Arabidopsis thaliana: one gene and its partner. The protein of the gene in region 1 purifies or fractionates together with the protein of each later gene. This does not show direct contact. Each region holds a gene or a part of one and is shown on either strand. Other genes may lie near its edges.

Region 1 (6,784 bases):
GGAAATGTTTATTCAGTCTCATCTCCCTGCGGAGACCAATGTTTTTTCGTCATTGGAGCTCATCGAAGGAAGAGGAACAGGGAGACTTGGGTTTGAATCAGGAGTGGCTGCTTCTTTCTCAACTGGTACAGGCTTTGGTGTGTAAGTAAAGTTGAGTTCTTTGTTGGCTGCAAGTGCCACAAGCTCTTTCTCTTCAAGGCCTTTGGTCGGTCCGAGGCTGCACCTATCTGGACCATGCTTTGCCAAGGCATCTCTGAATTTCTTGATCTGAAACAGATAAAACAAATCAAGATCAAAATCGAACCTAAGATGGTTTTTTCATTGATTGTCTCATGGATTATAAGAATGAGAACGAACCGTGGCATTGGTACAGCTAAAGCTGCAAACACGACCCTGAGAGCCACGGTAGAATCGGAAAAAAGGGAGAACATGGACACCAAGACTATAACACATGGACTTATGCTCCTCGTAATTCACCTGAAGAAACTGCACATCCGGGTTCATCTCTGCAAACTGACATATCTGCAACAATCATAAACCATCATTGTTAGAAAACTTGTTCATTTCATCAATACTGTACCAAACAATCCAAGAAGTGGATTGATACCTTAGGATGGAGAGCCTTGCAGCCACCACAGCCAGGTGAGAAGAAATCAACAACAACAAGCTTATCACCAGCGTTAGTAAGAGAATCAACGAGCTCTTGAGCTGAAGAGATCTCTCTCATGTTATCTTTCAGACCTTTCTCCCACCACTTCTGAGCTGTCCCAATCCTCAAAGTTGTCTGCAAATTTACACATGTCAGATATCATATTTTCACAGATCCATAAAACCAACACATCAAATTGAAAACACATGAACCCTAAACCAAAATCTACTCTTCAAGCCAATAATTCACAACAAAATTAAAGCAAAACCCTAAAAAACTATTCTTTCAACAATTAGCTCTCAGGATCTTTCTAATTAGATCTCGCATGTAATGGATTATAATATTTCAGATAAACAAAAACGAAAACACAAAACATTAAAGTCTACCTGAGCTGTGATAGCTGATGATCTTCTGAAGCTCTCGTCTTGAGAATCTCCGAAAACGATCTGTTTTCCGTAAAATACACTTCTAAGAGGCTTCTGACTCTTAAGCTTCAGACAAGAGAAACTCTTTTTCAAACCAAACCCACCAAAACTCACCGGAGAGAAAGAGAAATCATCAACACGGTGATGATTACCACAAGCTCCTAAGAACAAACTCGTTTTGCTAATCACTTCCGTCATATTATTCTCTAATCAGAAGAAAAAACAATATCTGTCTCCAGAATATACCAGAAGAAAAAGAAAAAGTTCTCACAGAGACGACGTGTCTTCTCAGCAATCTTTAGTCGCCAGCGAAGTTTCGCTTTCTTTCTCAGGAAAAATTAGCTTCACGAGAAAATTTATAATCGAAAAAAAAAAGTTTAAAGGAAAGAGAAAAAGGCCTCAAGGTTAGACATTTCTGGACAGGAAACTGTTTTCTTTTTCGTTAAGTGATCTTGACCGTCCATTTTGGATTTGGAATTTTAAGATCTAACGGTGGATTAGTGATTATCAGGTTTAGTCGGTCAGAAGAAAACTAATAAATGGATAAGGTTCATGACTTCTCGCAGATATAAAGGAACAAGTATAGGAAATTTTCTCATGACTTTGAATACATTTAAATGGATATGTTTGGTTTTTTACCATGCTTTTATCTGAATACAGAGTTTTAACTATGTTAAGTGGATATATATTATTTTGAAGAGTATGTTTAGCCAATTTAAGTAACGAATTTTAAATTTACCTATATTAATATTAAACAAATGGATTATATAGGTCATGAACCAAACAATTTTGAGAAAAATAAATGATACAGTTTCATCCTCAAACATTTATCAATCAAGTAAACAACAAATTAGGCGATGAACCACCAAAATGAAAGATTATTACTTTATTAGTCATCTGCAATCAACTAGTGAAGGATTTTACTACCAAACAAAAGAAAAAAAAGTAGTGATGGATAAATGGATTTGGATTTTAAGGAAGATAGTTTGCCAACACATCACCCACGTGGGTCTCACTCTCTCCACCACAACTCTCTCCTTTAACCTTTTTTATGAACTTTATATTATTGGAGATTTGCAATTGCCACCTCTTTAACAAAATAATTGGAGATTGCCCTTTTTAGTTTTTTGGTTTACATCTAACCCCCTCAATTCCACATTGCACAAGTTTTCGATCGATTCACGACAATAAGTAGAACAAACGTAACAAATGTGACTAGAGTTGAACAGCCAAAACAATCGAAGCAACTTTATTTTAATGTAAAACAAGCGTTATGTAATATTTTTTTGGGCGGCAAACAAATTTACTATATTTAATTACAAAAACAGAATAATTTTTTAATTAGAAAACAAAAAGTTTAAACAAAACAAATGTGACGAATGTAGAATAGACAAAACAATCCTAACAAATTTGTTTTAATGTAAAACAAGCGTTACGTAATCTATATATTTTTGTCGGTAAACTAATACTATTTTATAACCATGAAACGTTACAAAATTTAGTACATACTAACGTTATAGTAATGTAGTGACACAGTTTTTAAAAACATTTTTCAAGCATTACAGAATAAATATTGAATTGCGACTACAATAAATATTATTAAATTATTTTTTTATTCGAATATCATAAGGAATTTAATGTGATTAGTCAAAATTTTGGGTATTATTAAGTTTATAGAGATATGATGTACATTTTATTTAAAATTTGTCTACGATATTGAAACAATTTTGAAAATATTACAAGAAAAATAAAAACTGATTTCAAGTTTAGAGACCAACAAGCTAGTGGAGATGTTTTATTGGAGAGTCGTTTACATACGAAATTAGAATTAAAATATTATATATTTGAAAATATCCTAATAATTTGAATGGTTCAACTAAGGTGTATCGTAACAAAAGAAACTATACCATAAGTTTTCCAACATAAAAAACAAAACACAAGAACCACAATTTTTGTATAAATGGTGACAAATGTGCAGCTAAGAACACCTCTTCTTTGCTTTCGTAAATCGTCACCAATGATGATTTGTCGACAAAAGCGATGTCATACACATAATTACAATTTAGTCCCTATATTTTCTTCTCAGTTTCGATATCTTTAAAGCTGTCTCAATCACACACGTCGGCACTAAAACATACATCTAATTACAATTTAGTCCCTATATTATTTTAAAGTTTCGAAAGAAATTCACATGAATTTAAAAATAGATTTGAAGAAACAGAAACAGATAGACAAATGGACGACAACGGATACATCGCCAAAATATAGCCGTTGGGGCGAAGAAATCACAGTAACGGCTAATTTCTCCTTTTTCTTATATTAGAAAGAAAGCTTTCTCTCATCTCACAAATCGCTAATCAAATTCTATAGTAAGCTTTACTTCACACTACTCTCTCACTTTCTGGGCAGAAACTTTGTGGATCTAGAAGAACACACTAATCAGAAGAGTATGTTGTATTTTCTTTGATTTTCTCTTGTTTGATTCTGTTACAATCACTGCGATTCTCTCTGATTCTTGTAAAATTGTTGACTTTCAGGTGAAAAAGATGAACGACTTGATGACGAAATCGTTTATGAGTTACGTTGACTTGAAAAAAGCAGCGATGAAGGATATGGAAGCAGGACCTGACTTTGATCTTGAGATGGCTTCTACGAAAGCAGACAAGATGGATGAGAATCTGTCATCTTTCTTAGAAGAAGCAGAGTATGTGAAAGCAGAGATGGGTTTGATTAGTGAGACGCTGGCTCGGATCGAACAGTACCATGAAGAGAGTAAAGGTGTTCACAAGGCAGAGTCTGTGAAGTCTCTTCGTAACAAGATCTCTAACGAGATTGTGTCTGGTTTGAGGAAGGCGAAATCGATTAAGTCGAAGCTGGAAGAGATGGATAAAGCCAACAAGGAGATTAAAAGGCTCTCTGGGACTCCGGTTTATAGGAGCAGAACCGCTGTGACTAATGGGCTGAGGAAGAAACTTAAGGAAGTGATGATGGAGTTTCAGGGGCTGAGGCAAAAGATGATGAGTGAGTACAAGGAGACTGTTGAGAGAAGGTACTTCACTGTCACTGGAGAACATGCTAATGATGAGATGATTGAGAAGATCATCACTGATAACGCTGGAGGTGAAGAGTTTCTCACGCGAGCAATTCAGGAACATGGTAAAGGAAAGGTCTTGGAAACTGTGGTTGAGATTCAAGACAGGTATGATGCAGCAAAGGAGATTGAGAAGAGTCTGTTGGAGCTTCACCAAGTGTTTCTTGATATGGCTGTGATGGTTGAATCGCAAGGTGAACAGATGGACGAGATCGAGCATCATGTGATTAATGCGAGCCATTACGTGGCTGATGGAGCTAATGAGCTGAAGACTGCAAAGAGTCATCAGAGAAACAGCAGAAAATGGATGTGCATTGGTATCATTGTGCTGCTTTTGATCATTCTCATTGTTGTCATCCCCATCATTACCAGTTTCAGCTCTTCTTGAGATACTGGCTATGTTCACTCCTTTTGTTTTGTTTCGCTCTTCTTTGTACCAATGGATGTCTTAATCCTTTTGTGTTCTTCAAGGATGTCTTAATCCTTTCGTGTCTTGTATCCAATTTCAATGAAATGGTGAATGTTTACAAAGATACCCAGTTGACTTAATCCTCTTGATCATTCTAAATGTTGTCATCCCCATTGTTAACACTTTCAGCTCTTCTTGAGGTACTATGTTTACCAATCGTTGTTTGTTTCGCTCAAAGGATGTTTAATCCTTGTGTTTTCTGTATCCAATTGTTATGGAATGATGATGACTGTGTACAAAAATATTACTTTATATGAACCGAACACAGTATGTATAATATAGTTTGTACAACAATGGTGGTTCTTGTTTCTACCTGACCTTCCTGATTGGCAAAGCTTTCCCAAACAATTTTTCAACCTCACTTGCTTCCATTTTGATCTCATCCAAAAACTCCATCTCTTCTTTACTTAACTCTCTCACGAAATTCTCCTCGTCTTGCTTCAGTTCATTAAATCCTTCAGCCAATCTCTGGAACAAGGTCATCTCAGTCCTACCGACCTTCTCCACTTCCTTCTCTACCTCTTCTTCTATCTCTTCAACCTCTTTTACGATTATCCTTTCACCTTCTTCCACTGTCTTCTCAATTCTCTCCACGAGCGCAGGTTCAGGACCACATGTGTTATCCGTTCTAATGAATGTGCTGAAGTCTCTGCCTATGCTTTTTGCTGCTTTTTCGAGTTCTGGTATAATGCTATTGGGTAATACAGAACTTCTCGTGTATACAACTGCACCACCATATCCATCCCAAGCATCGTTTCGCCCACGGTAGTATACAAATATATAGTCTTCAGGTTTATTCTCTATCTTTGATGACAGGATATACCTGCAAAAATCATATGAAAGCTTGTTAGGCCAAAGAAGAATAGCAGCACTATCAAGACTCTCCCTCGTGGGTGGATACAAGATGTTATTACCAGTCATCTTGATAGTGAAGGTACTCGTTGTCATGATTGTAGAGAACACCAGGTTGGTTAGGATCTTGCACGAATTTTTGTACGGCTGACCTAGTAAAGAATCCACTGTCTAGGGTCTTTATTCTCCAAGAGATGTTTCCAACAAGCTTGTTGTCACCTTCTGTGTGGAACTCATGCAGCTGGCAGTCGAAGGCATCAAAGGTTGGATTCAAGCCACTTGTAATGTACCACTTCCCGTTAAAGTCCGAGATGTTGAAGTTCTGTACAAGAACAGAAGGGTCTGGGGCAGGAAATTCTCCGAGATCAGATTTTCTAGGAACACACTTTTTTCTCGACACAGCACACTCGTTGAACTCATCAACAACACTGTTCTCAAACAGATCCCCACATTTAATCTGATATAATATAAGCACATAATTATAAACAAAATCATTGGTCTTCTTTCATAAGCAAGCAATATCTCTGCCTCATAAAATGATATATCAAAATAAATTATAACCTGGCACTCGGTTTCATCTGGACGGTTATTGCAGGTCTGAAGGCACGCGACATTGGCTGCACAGGCAGGGTTGGCAATGCACTTTGCGAGTTCTATCCTAACAGATAATTGGGCTTCCATATGGTCAGACAAGGAGGGAAATATATAAATTGACGGCAAAAAAATCAGAAAGATATCATCAACTGATTTCAGCTCTATCATAGACAGACACAGTAACTTCATCTAGCTTTAACATTCTCAACAATTGAAGAGTATGGAGCTATACAATTCAAAACACTTATAGCATCACAATCACAATGAAAATAAAACCGGTTTTGGTGGGGGGACACTATATATGCAGAATCCAAACGAAGGAAAGTTACCTGCATCCCTTCAATAAGCATGCACAAGTTTTAAGTGCATCAACTGCATCTGCAGATGGAACAATAAGGAACGCGCAAGCTAAAACACCCACGAGTTTTAGCAACAGCGGAGCGGTCAGCTCTTTCAGCTCATTCTTTGATGGTAATGGCACAATGTCAAATATCCCCTGACATGATCAAAAGCAATGAGATCATCGAAATACCAAATTTTGTATTGAAACACAAGACTAGTATGATTGATTACCTTAGAGAATCCTGACCTGAATGCAGATAAAGGACGTGAGGATCTCCCACCAGTTGTTCTGAGATCAGCACTTTGGATTGGAGGTAAAATCTTGAGCAAGAAAGTGCCATTGATCCTCTTTCTTGTAATGC
Region 2 (7,335 bases), on another chromosome or scaffold:
ATACATTGTTCTTTCTGTATTTGGCTTTTTCTAAGTAGCACACTATTGGACATATTGCAGGACATTTGCTGCAGTTGGTGTTGACCCTGCAATCATGGGTATCGGTCCAGCAGTTGCCATTCCTGCTGCAGTTAAGGCGGCTGGTTTAGAACTTGATGACATCGACTTGTTTGAGATCAATGAGGTATATAGCAAACAATTTCATGATCTTCTTATCACATATCTCTTCCCGCACATTCTGATGATGACCATCTGTTTGAATCCTTGTGTGTTCAGGCATTTGCATCTCAGTTTGTTTATTGCCGTAACAAATTGGGACTTGACCCAGAGAAAATCAATGTCAACGGAGGTGCAATGGCCATAGGCCATCCTTTGGGCGCTACAGGTATATCTGTTAAGAACAGGACTAAAACTGTTAAGCTTGTTCCAATTTACCAAACCATAGAGACTTGAATTAATGAGAATCTCTCAACTCTCAACCAAACCTTAAGAAATCCACAGCCGAGATATATCTTTATAAACTCTGTCCTCACTAATGGTTCTTTAACCAACTTACAAGAGCTCTATCTTGCCGCAGTCCGTCCTTTTCAAAGCATATCAATGTCTACATTGTGTCTATATAATTATAAAACGCTCATGAACAGTTGCTAATACTTGTTAAAACTCTCACAGGAGCGCGTTGTGTTGCTACATTGTTGCACGAGATGAAACGCCGTGGTAAAGACTGCCGTTTTGGAGTAGTGTCAATGTGCATTGGTATGCTTCTCACTCGAATAATTCATTGTGAATTTGGTGTCTGAAATATGTGTCTGAGGGATGGTTTTACTGATTTGGTAAACTCTGGCAGGGACGGGGATGGGTGCAGCAGCTGTGTTTGAGAGAGGAGATGGAGTTGATGAGCTTCGCAACGCAAGGAAAGTTGAAGCGCAAGGTCTTTTGTCCAAGGACGCTCGCTAGAGAGGACCATGCACCAAAACCGTTTTTCACCTCACCTCTCTCTTTTCTGGTCTTCTTGTCACTTTCTTCAGATATTATTATAGTTTCGAATAAAGCACACAACCAATGTTTGCCTGAGTCTTGTGTTGTTCTTGACCAGGTCATGTGTTTAGTATTTTTTTTAAGTGAAGGGGGATAATCTTTAAATCTTTTATATGTAAGAATATTGTTCTTCTCGAATTTCATCAGTTGTTGCTTCTAGAAATTTTAGATTTTTTGGGTGGCAGCCATTTCTATATTTCGATGGATAAGTCAAACGTTCATAAAGTCAAGGGTTCTGCCTTTTGTTTGTGTTTCATGATTTTACCTTGAATTTCATTAACTAAAACAGTGTTAATAGTAACAGTTGGGGTGGTGGCGCAGTTGGCTAGCGCGTAGGTCTCATAGCTACTGAGTGATCCTGAGGTCGAGAGTTCGAGCCTCTCTCACCCCATAATTTTATTTTCTCATAGCTATTTATATAACGTTCCTTCTAGTATTTTTTTTTCTTTTCGTTATAGTATCTTGTCTTTGATACCGGAGACGTTATAACGGCAGTATAAGACGTTATAATCATGTTCCAATGCATCCCCTCAGTTTTGTGTTAAAAACGAGCCATCAATGTTATCATATATGGAAATCATTATTGAGGCTTTGACCAATTAATTATGCGAATTGACCGACTTTGATCACTATACAGAGCAAAACAAATCCACTGAATCATTTATTTGTGTAGGTTCATCTTTTTTGGGCACCGTATTCATTTCTTATTCCATGAATTTGACGGAGTAATTTTGATTTTCTTTTTCGAGTAAGAATCTGGTCAAATATTCGATGAACCTCTACAAAAAAAATTAACCTCTATAAAAGTGTAGATTAACCAAGTGTTTCATCACAAACCATTTCAACGTAAACGAAACAACAACTACTACTCTCAACTTTACACTCTCTTGATAAGTCTCGATGATGAATAACATGAAGCTCTTGATCATCGCTGTGATGATCATCTCGGCAGCTTTGCTTCCAGCGCTTGTGGTCGGATCTCGTCCGGTAAAATGTGACAATTGCATGGACGGTGGAGAAAAAGAAGAGATCATGAAGATGAGTTCAGGTGTAGATGTGAGCCATAGGATACTTCAAGCTAAGAGATTTATAGATTACGAAGCATTGAAGAAAAACTTACCAGCCAAACCAGATGGTAAACCGGATAAACCGGATAACAAATACCGACGTGGTTGCAGTGCCGCTACAGGATGTTACCGCTTTACAAATTAAACATAAACCACCTCTCTCTTCTTCTTCTTCTTCCTTTCGTTGGTGTGTTTTATTTTATTTTTAATTAGTATTTCCAATCACATTTCTTATTATTATATTTTATTGCAATTTGTAAGCCTTTGAGGCATTATCTCCTAGAGAGTTAGAATAAACTTCGTTTAGAAATTGTCATCCTTTTCTCACCAAATGATTGACGAGTGAAAATTGATCTCATCGTAAAGTATTTTTGCGGTCAAGTTCAAACAAATTGATCCCTTCTCTCGCACCATATTCTTGTTTTATTTTATTTAAACGATCGATATATTTCCAAACCATTCCTCCAAAACTATCACACATTCACACCTACCAATTTCAACTTTAAATACAAAATATAGTCTTGTTGTAAATATAAGATACACTTTAGAAGTGTACACGTGAAATTCAGGTATATATATTACAATAGTAAGCAACCTCTAAGTACAATTAAATCAAGAAAAAAATAGATTTGAATTAATAGGAGCGGACATGGGATGCATGTAGAATTGTAGATTATCATTTATTATGGTGACTAGACCATTGAACTTTCCTATAACTTTGAAAATATTCTTATTTAGTCATTTAATTTAGATTACACCAAAACCCCAAATATGCCAAATTTTCTACAAATACCCCAAAAAAGACAATTTATAAAATTATTATCCAACCACATGTAATAATCTTTGATGACTTTTAAGTTTTAAATTTTAATAGTAGATTTAGATAATATAGGAACCAATTATTCAAAGGTCAAAGTTCAAACTAGCTTATCCAAATTCATTTTCGCTGATAAAAATACGTTGAAACTATCAAATAACAAAATACCATTACACCAACATCACCAACTTTTTAAAACCCCACAAGTTGATTATTTGAATTTGCTTTTAGGTCCTCAAGTTCAAGATTGTTTCAATTTGCACAATCTGCATAAATCTTTCTGAAATATAACTTTTTTGCCCTCTAAAACTCAAGGGTTTGATTTTTCTTCTTCAACTACGTTAAGATTTCTCCTACACTTTTCTTTTTCACCGTATTCTCTTTTAGTCCTCGATTCTCTACGCGTTTCAGCGTCAAGTCTTCTAGATCTCTAAAGCCTTCGTGCTCGCCAATATAAATCTCTGAGATCGGTCCCGTAAAATCGGATTCGCGTCGTTTTTGAGTAAAAAAAATGGCGCAACAATCGTTGATCTACAGTTTCGTCGCTCGTGGTACCGTTATCCTCGTTGAGTTCACAGATTTCAAAGGCAATTTCACATCAATCGCTGCTCAGTGCCTTCAGAAGCTTCCTTCTTCTAACAACAAGTTTACCTACAACTGCGATGGTCACACGTTCAATTACCTCGTCGAAAATGGATTCAGTGAGTCAAAATATTGCTCGATCTGTAAGCGTAGCTTGTTTGTGTTTTGATTTATCCATTGTTTGAATTAGATTTTTTGCCTAATTGAGAAATATGAATCGAGTTCTTATGTTTGGTATAGTTTCCAGTAATAATTATGTATTGGCGTTGATAATTAATTGATGTTAGATCTATGGTAATCAGTGATATTTTTGGTGGATCTATCAATGAATATTTGCAATTTTTGTTCTGGATCTATTGATTCTTTGCTTATTTGCGTGTAGCTTTCGATATCATGAAGTTTTTGGCATTAGTGTATTGTGTTCTTTATGTAACTCTGTTTTACTAAACCTAATTGGGTTTTGGGTGATGTTGATGGCGGATATGGTCTCTTTATGATAGTGTTAACTTTCTTATCAGCGATATATTGATGAATCTATTGCTTTATCTCTTAATATAGAGTTTAAAATGGACCGGTTTTGTTTTCGTTTGTGCAGCCTATTGTGTTGTTGCAGTTGATTCTGCTGGGAGGCAGATTCCTATGGCTTTCTTGGAACGAGTTAAGGAGGATTTCAACAAGAGATATGGTGGTGGAAAGGCTGCAACTGCTCAAGCAAACAGCTTGAATAAAGAATTTGGGTATGTGTTTTTTGATCTCTTTGATTGGTATTGAAAAGGGTCTATGATTCATGGGCATAGTTATTGATGGACTTCTTTTTGGCTTCTCTAAAGGTCGAAACTGAAAGAGCATATGCAGTATTGCATGGATCATCCTGATGAGATTAGCAAGCTTGCTAAGGTTAAAGCTCAAGTGTCTGAAGTTAAAGGTGTTATGATGGAAAACATTGAGAAGGTTTGATTCTGACCCTTTTTTCTTTTTATCGATATAGTTTTATGTTGTAAACCTTTTCGAACAGAGTTCAGCTTGTATGACTTTAGTACCAGGATCTTATGATTCGTAAAGCATAAACTGTAGAGAGGAATGTTTTATTCTCGGTTGTGAAGACATATTCTGTTGTTAACTCGTTTATGCATTCGTTTGCAGGTTCTTGACCGTGGTGAGAAGATTGAGCTTTTGGTTGACAAAACAGAAAACCTTCGCTCACAGGTTTGTTTTCTAAATGGTTCAAAGTCAATAGACCCACACAGAGACATGCAAGAGTTTGCAGCTTTCTCTTACTGATTGTTGTTTCTTGGGTTTCTAACTTTAAATTTGAACTCGACTTTATCACAGGCGCAAGATTTTAGAACACAAGGAACTCAAATGAGAAGAAAGATGTGGTTTCAGAACATGAAGATAAAGCTCATTGTCCTTGCAATTATCATTGCCTTGATTCTCATCATCATCCTCTCAATTTGTGGGGGATTCAACTGCGGTAAATAAGTCTGGAACATTTCTTCCCGGCGTTATCGACTGCGCTCTGTGCTTCCCAAGATCTCTGAGAATATCTTCATTCAGTTCGTTGTGCTACCTTTTTGTTTTGTTTTTGTTTTTGTGATTTCTATATTCTCATACTATATGTTTCTTCTTAGATTGTACTTCTTGAAATTTGTTTTGTATAGGCTATATATATTATACATATATGTATGCATGTTCGACAATCTGCAATGTTGCTATTGCTGGTACTGACACTAATTCTTGCAAACCAATATTTGGACGATACTTGTTCTTGGCAATTTACTAATTTCTTTGGTCTGTTGATGAGACTCTAGTTGCGGATTGCAGTGAGGTATAAGCATAGTCCACAGCCGGTTAATATTAAATGGAGATGAATATGTAATTAACACGGTTTCGTCTGACCGATTCACCAGAGTCTCCGGTTAGTTCATTAAGGGTTTGCTCAAACGCTTTCTCCTCTGCTTCCCTAATTTCGGAAACATTCGCCTGATTTTCTGAGATTTTGGAATTTCTTCGAATTGATTGCCATGCTGAGCTCAAGATTTCGACTGCTGAAATCGAGGCGACTTGCGGAGCCACCTCCGGCTGATGTCGCGGTTATGTGTATTTGCAGGAAATGAAAGTGATCTCCTTATTGCGGCAAATCAGCCACTTCCTGTCGACTAAAACTGTGGTGCAGCATGTAAGAACAAATGCAAGTTCGGACAAACGTGTTGTCTTGGTCAGTGGTTTTACTTGGCTTAGTCTTCGATTCTCTACGCGTTTCAGCGTCAAGTTTTCTAGATCTCTAAAGCTTTCGTGCTCGCCGATATAAATCTCTAATATCGGTCCCGTAAGATCGAATTAGATTCGCGTCGTTTTTTAAGGAACCAAAATAATGGCGCAACAATCGTTGTTCTACAGTTTCATCGCTCGCGGCACCGTAATCCTCGTCGAGTTCACAGATTTCAAAGGCAATTTCACATCTGTCGCTGCTCAGTACCTTGAGAATCTTCCTTCCTCGAACAACAAGTTTACCTACAACTGCGATGGTCATACGTTCAACGACCTCGTCGAAAATGGATTCAGTGAGTCAAAATATTGCTCGTGATGTGTTTGTGATTGTGTTTTCGATTAGTCGATTTATTCATTGTTTGGATTAGATTTCTTTTTACCTAATTGAGCATTTGAGAATCGAGTTCTTATGTTTGGTATATCTCTATGACTTATCTGAGTCGAGTTCTTATGTGTTTACCGTTTGGTATAATTTCAGGAATAGTTATGTATTGGGTTTGATAATTAATTGATGTTAGATCTATAATCAGTGATATGTTTGGTGGATCTATTTAAGCATCTATGCAATTCTTATTATGAATCTATGATTCTTGGCTTCTTTGCGTGTAGCTTTTGTTTTCATGAATTTGGCTGGTTTTTCAAATGAGAGTTGTTTGGGAAATTTGTGGATATATATCGCTCGAGTAAATTGCATTGGTGTATTGTGTTTATTATATTGCTCTGTTTTAATTAAACTTAGTTGGGTTTTGATGACGTTGGATATGGTCCATATCATATGGACTCTTTATTATATTTTTTAAGTTTCTTATGAGGGATATGTTTGTGCAGCCTATTGTGTTGTTGCAGTTGATTCTGCTGGGAGGGAGATTCCTATGGCTTTCTTGGAACGCGTGAAGGAGGATTTTTATAAGAGATATGGTGGTGAAAAGGCTGCAACTGATCAAGCAAATAGCTTGAATAAAGAATTTGGGTATGTGTTTTTTGATCTATATGATTGGTATTGAGAAGTTTGTATTATTCATGTCAATGACAGACTCCTTTTTGGCTGCTCTAAAGGTCGAATCTGAAAGAGCACATGCAGTATTGCATGGATCATCCTGATGAGATTAGCAACCTTGCTAAAGCTAAAGCTCAAGTGTCTGAAGTTAAAAGTTTAATGATGGAAAACATTGAGAAGGTTCGATTCTGACCCTTTTTTCTGTTAATGGTATAATTTTATGTTTTAATCTATTTCCAGTAGAGTTAAGCTCGTATGAGTTAAGTGTCATGATCTTTTGGTTCCTTAACCTTTAAATTGATGAGGGGAATGTCCAGTTCTGGGTTGTATAGGCATGTATGCTGACCGTTTTTACATTGTGGAACACATTCATTTGCAGGTTCTTGCCCGTGGTGTGATATGTGAGATGCTGGGTAGTTCAGAGGTTAGTTCTCTTAGGCATATGGTTCTAAGTTCCATACACATAGATATGCTTGAGTTGCCAGTTCTCTCTTACTAATGTTGTCTTGGGTTTCCAACTTTTAATTGAACTCGAAACTGTCACAGTCACAGCCGCAAGCTTT

What was found.
Region 2: the proteins of SYP111 (region 1) and SAR1 purify together in Arabidopsis thaliana (affinity purification with western blotting, with the first as the bait; one study listed by BioGRID). This does not show direct contact.

Annotation. Positions count from the first base shown.
Region 1 is NC_003070.9:2,707,547-2,714,330, reverse strand, and holds SYP111 (syntaxin of plants 111), read left to right. Parts: upstream 1-3,330; 5' UTR 3,331-3,521; intron 3,522-3,611; 5' UTR 3,612-3,620; coding exon 3,621-4,553; 3' UTR 4,554-4,806; downstream 4,807-6,784. Other genes in the region: ACHT4 (atypical CYS HIS rich thioredoxin 4), read right to left, coding at 19-267, 358-522, 608-784, 1,036-1,272; NPQ1 (non-photochemical quenching 1), read right to left, coding at 4,944-5,457, 5,549-5,943, 6,048-6,144, 6,410-6,576, 6,654-6,784. UniProt on the Arabidopsis thaliana protein: Involved in cytokinesis. Acts as a cell plate-specific syntaxin, required for the fusion of vesicles at the plane of cell division.
Region 2 is NC_003071.7:14,041,436-14,048,770, reverse strand, and holds SAR1 (synaptobrevin-related protein 1), read left to right. Parts: upstream 1-3,227; 5' UTR 3,228-3,433; coding exon 3,434-3,647; intron 3,648-4,099; coding exon 4,100-4,241; intron 4,242-4,334; coding exon 4,335-4,455; intron 4,456-4,647; coding exon 4,648-4,710; intron 4,711-4,836; coding exon 4,837-4,986; 3' UTR 4,987-5,312; downstream 5,313-7,335. Other genes in the region: PKT3 (peroxisomal 3-ketoacyl-CoA thiolase 3), read left to right, coding at 61-184, 277-385, 673-756, 848-957; RALFL18 (ralf-like 18), read left to right, coding at 1,939-2,250; VAMP723 (vesicle-associated membrane protein 723), read left to right, coding at 5,879-6,068, 6,604-6,745, 6,832-6,952, 7,152-7,196, 7,319-7,335. UniProt on the Arabidopsis thaliana protein: Involved in the targeting and/or fusion of transport vesicles to their target membrane.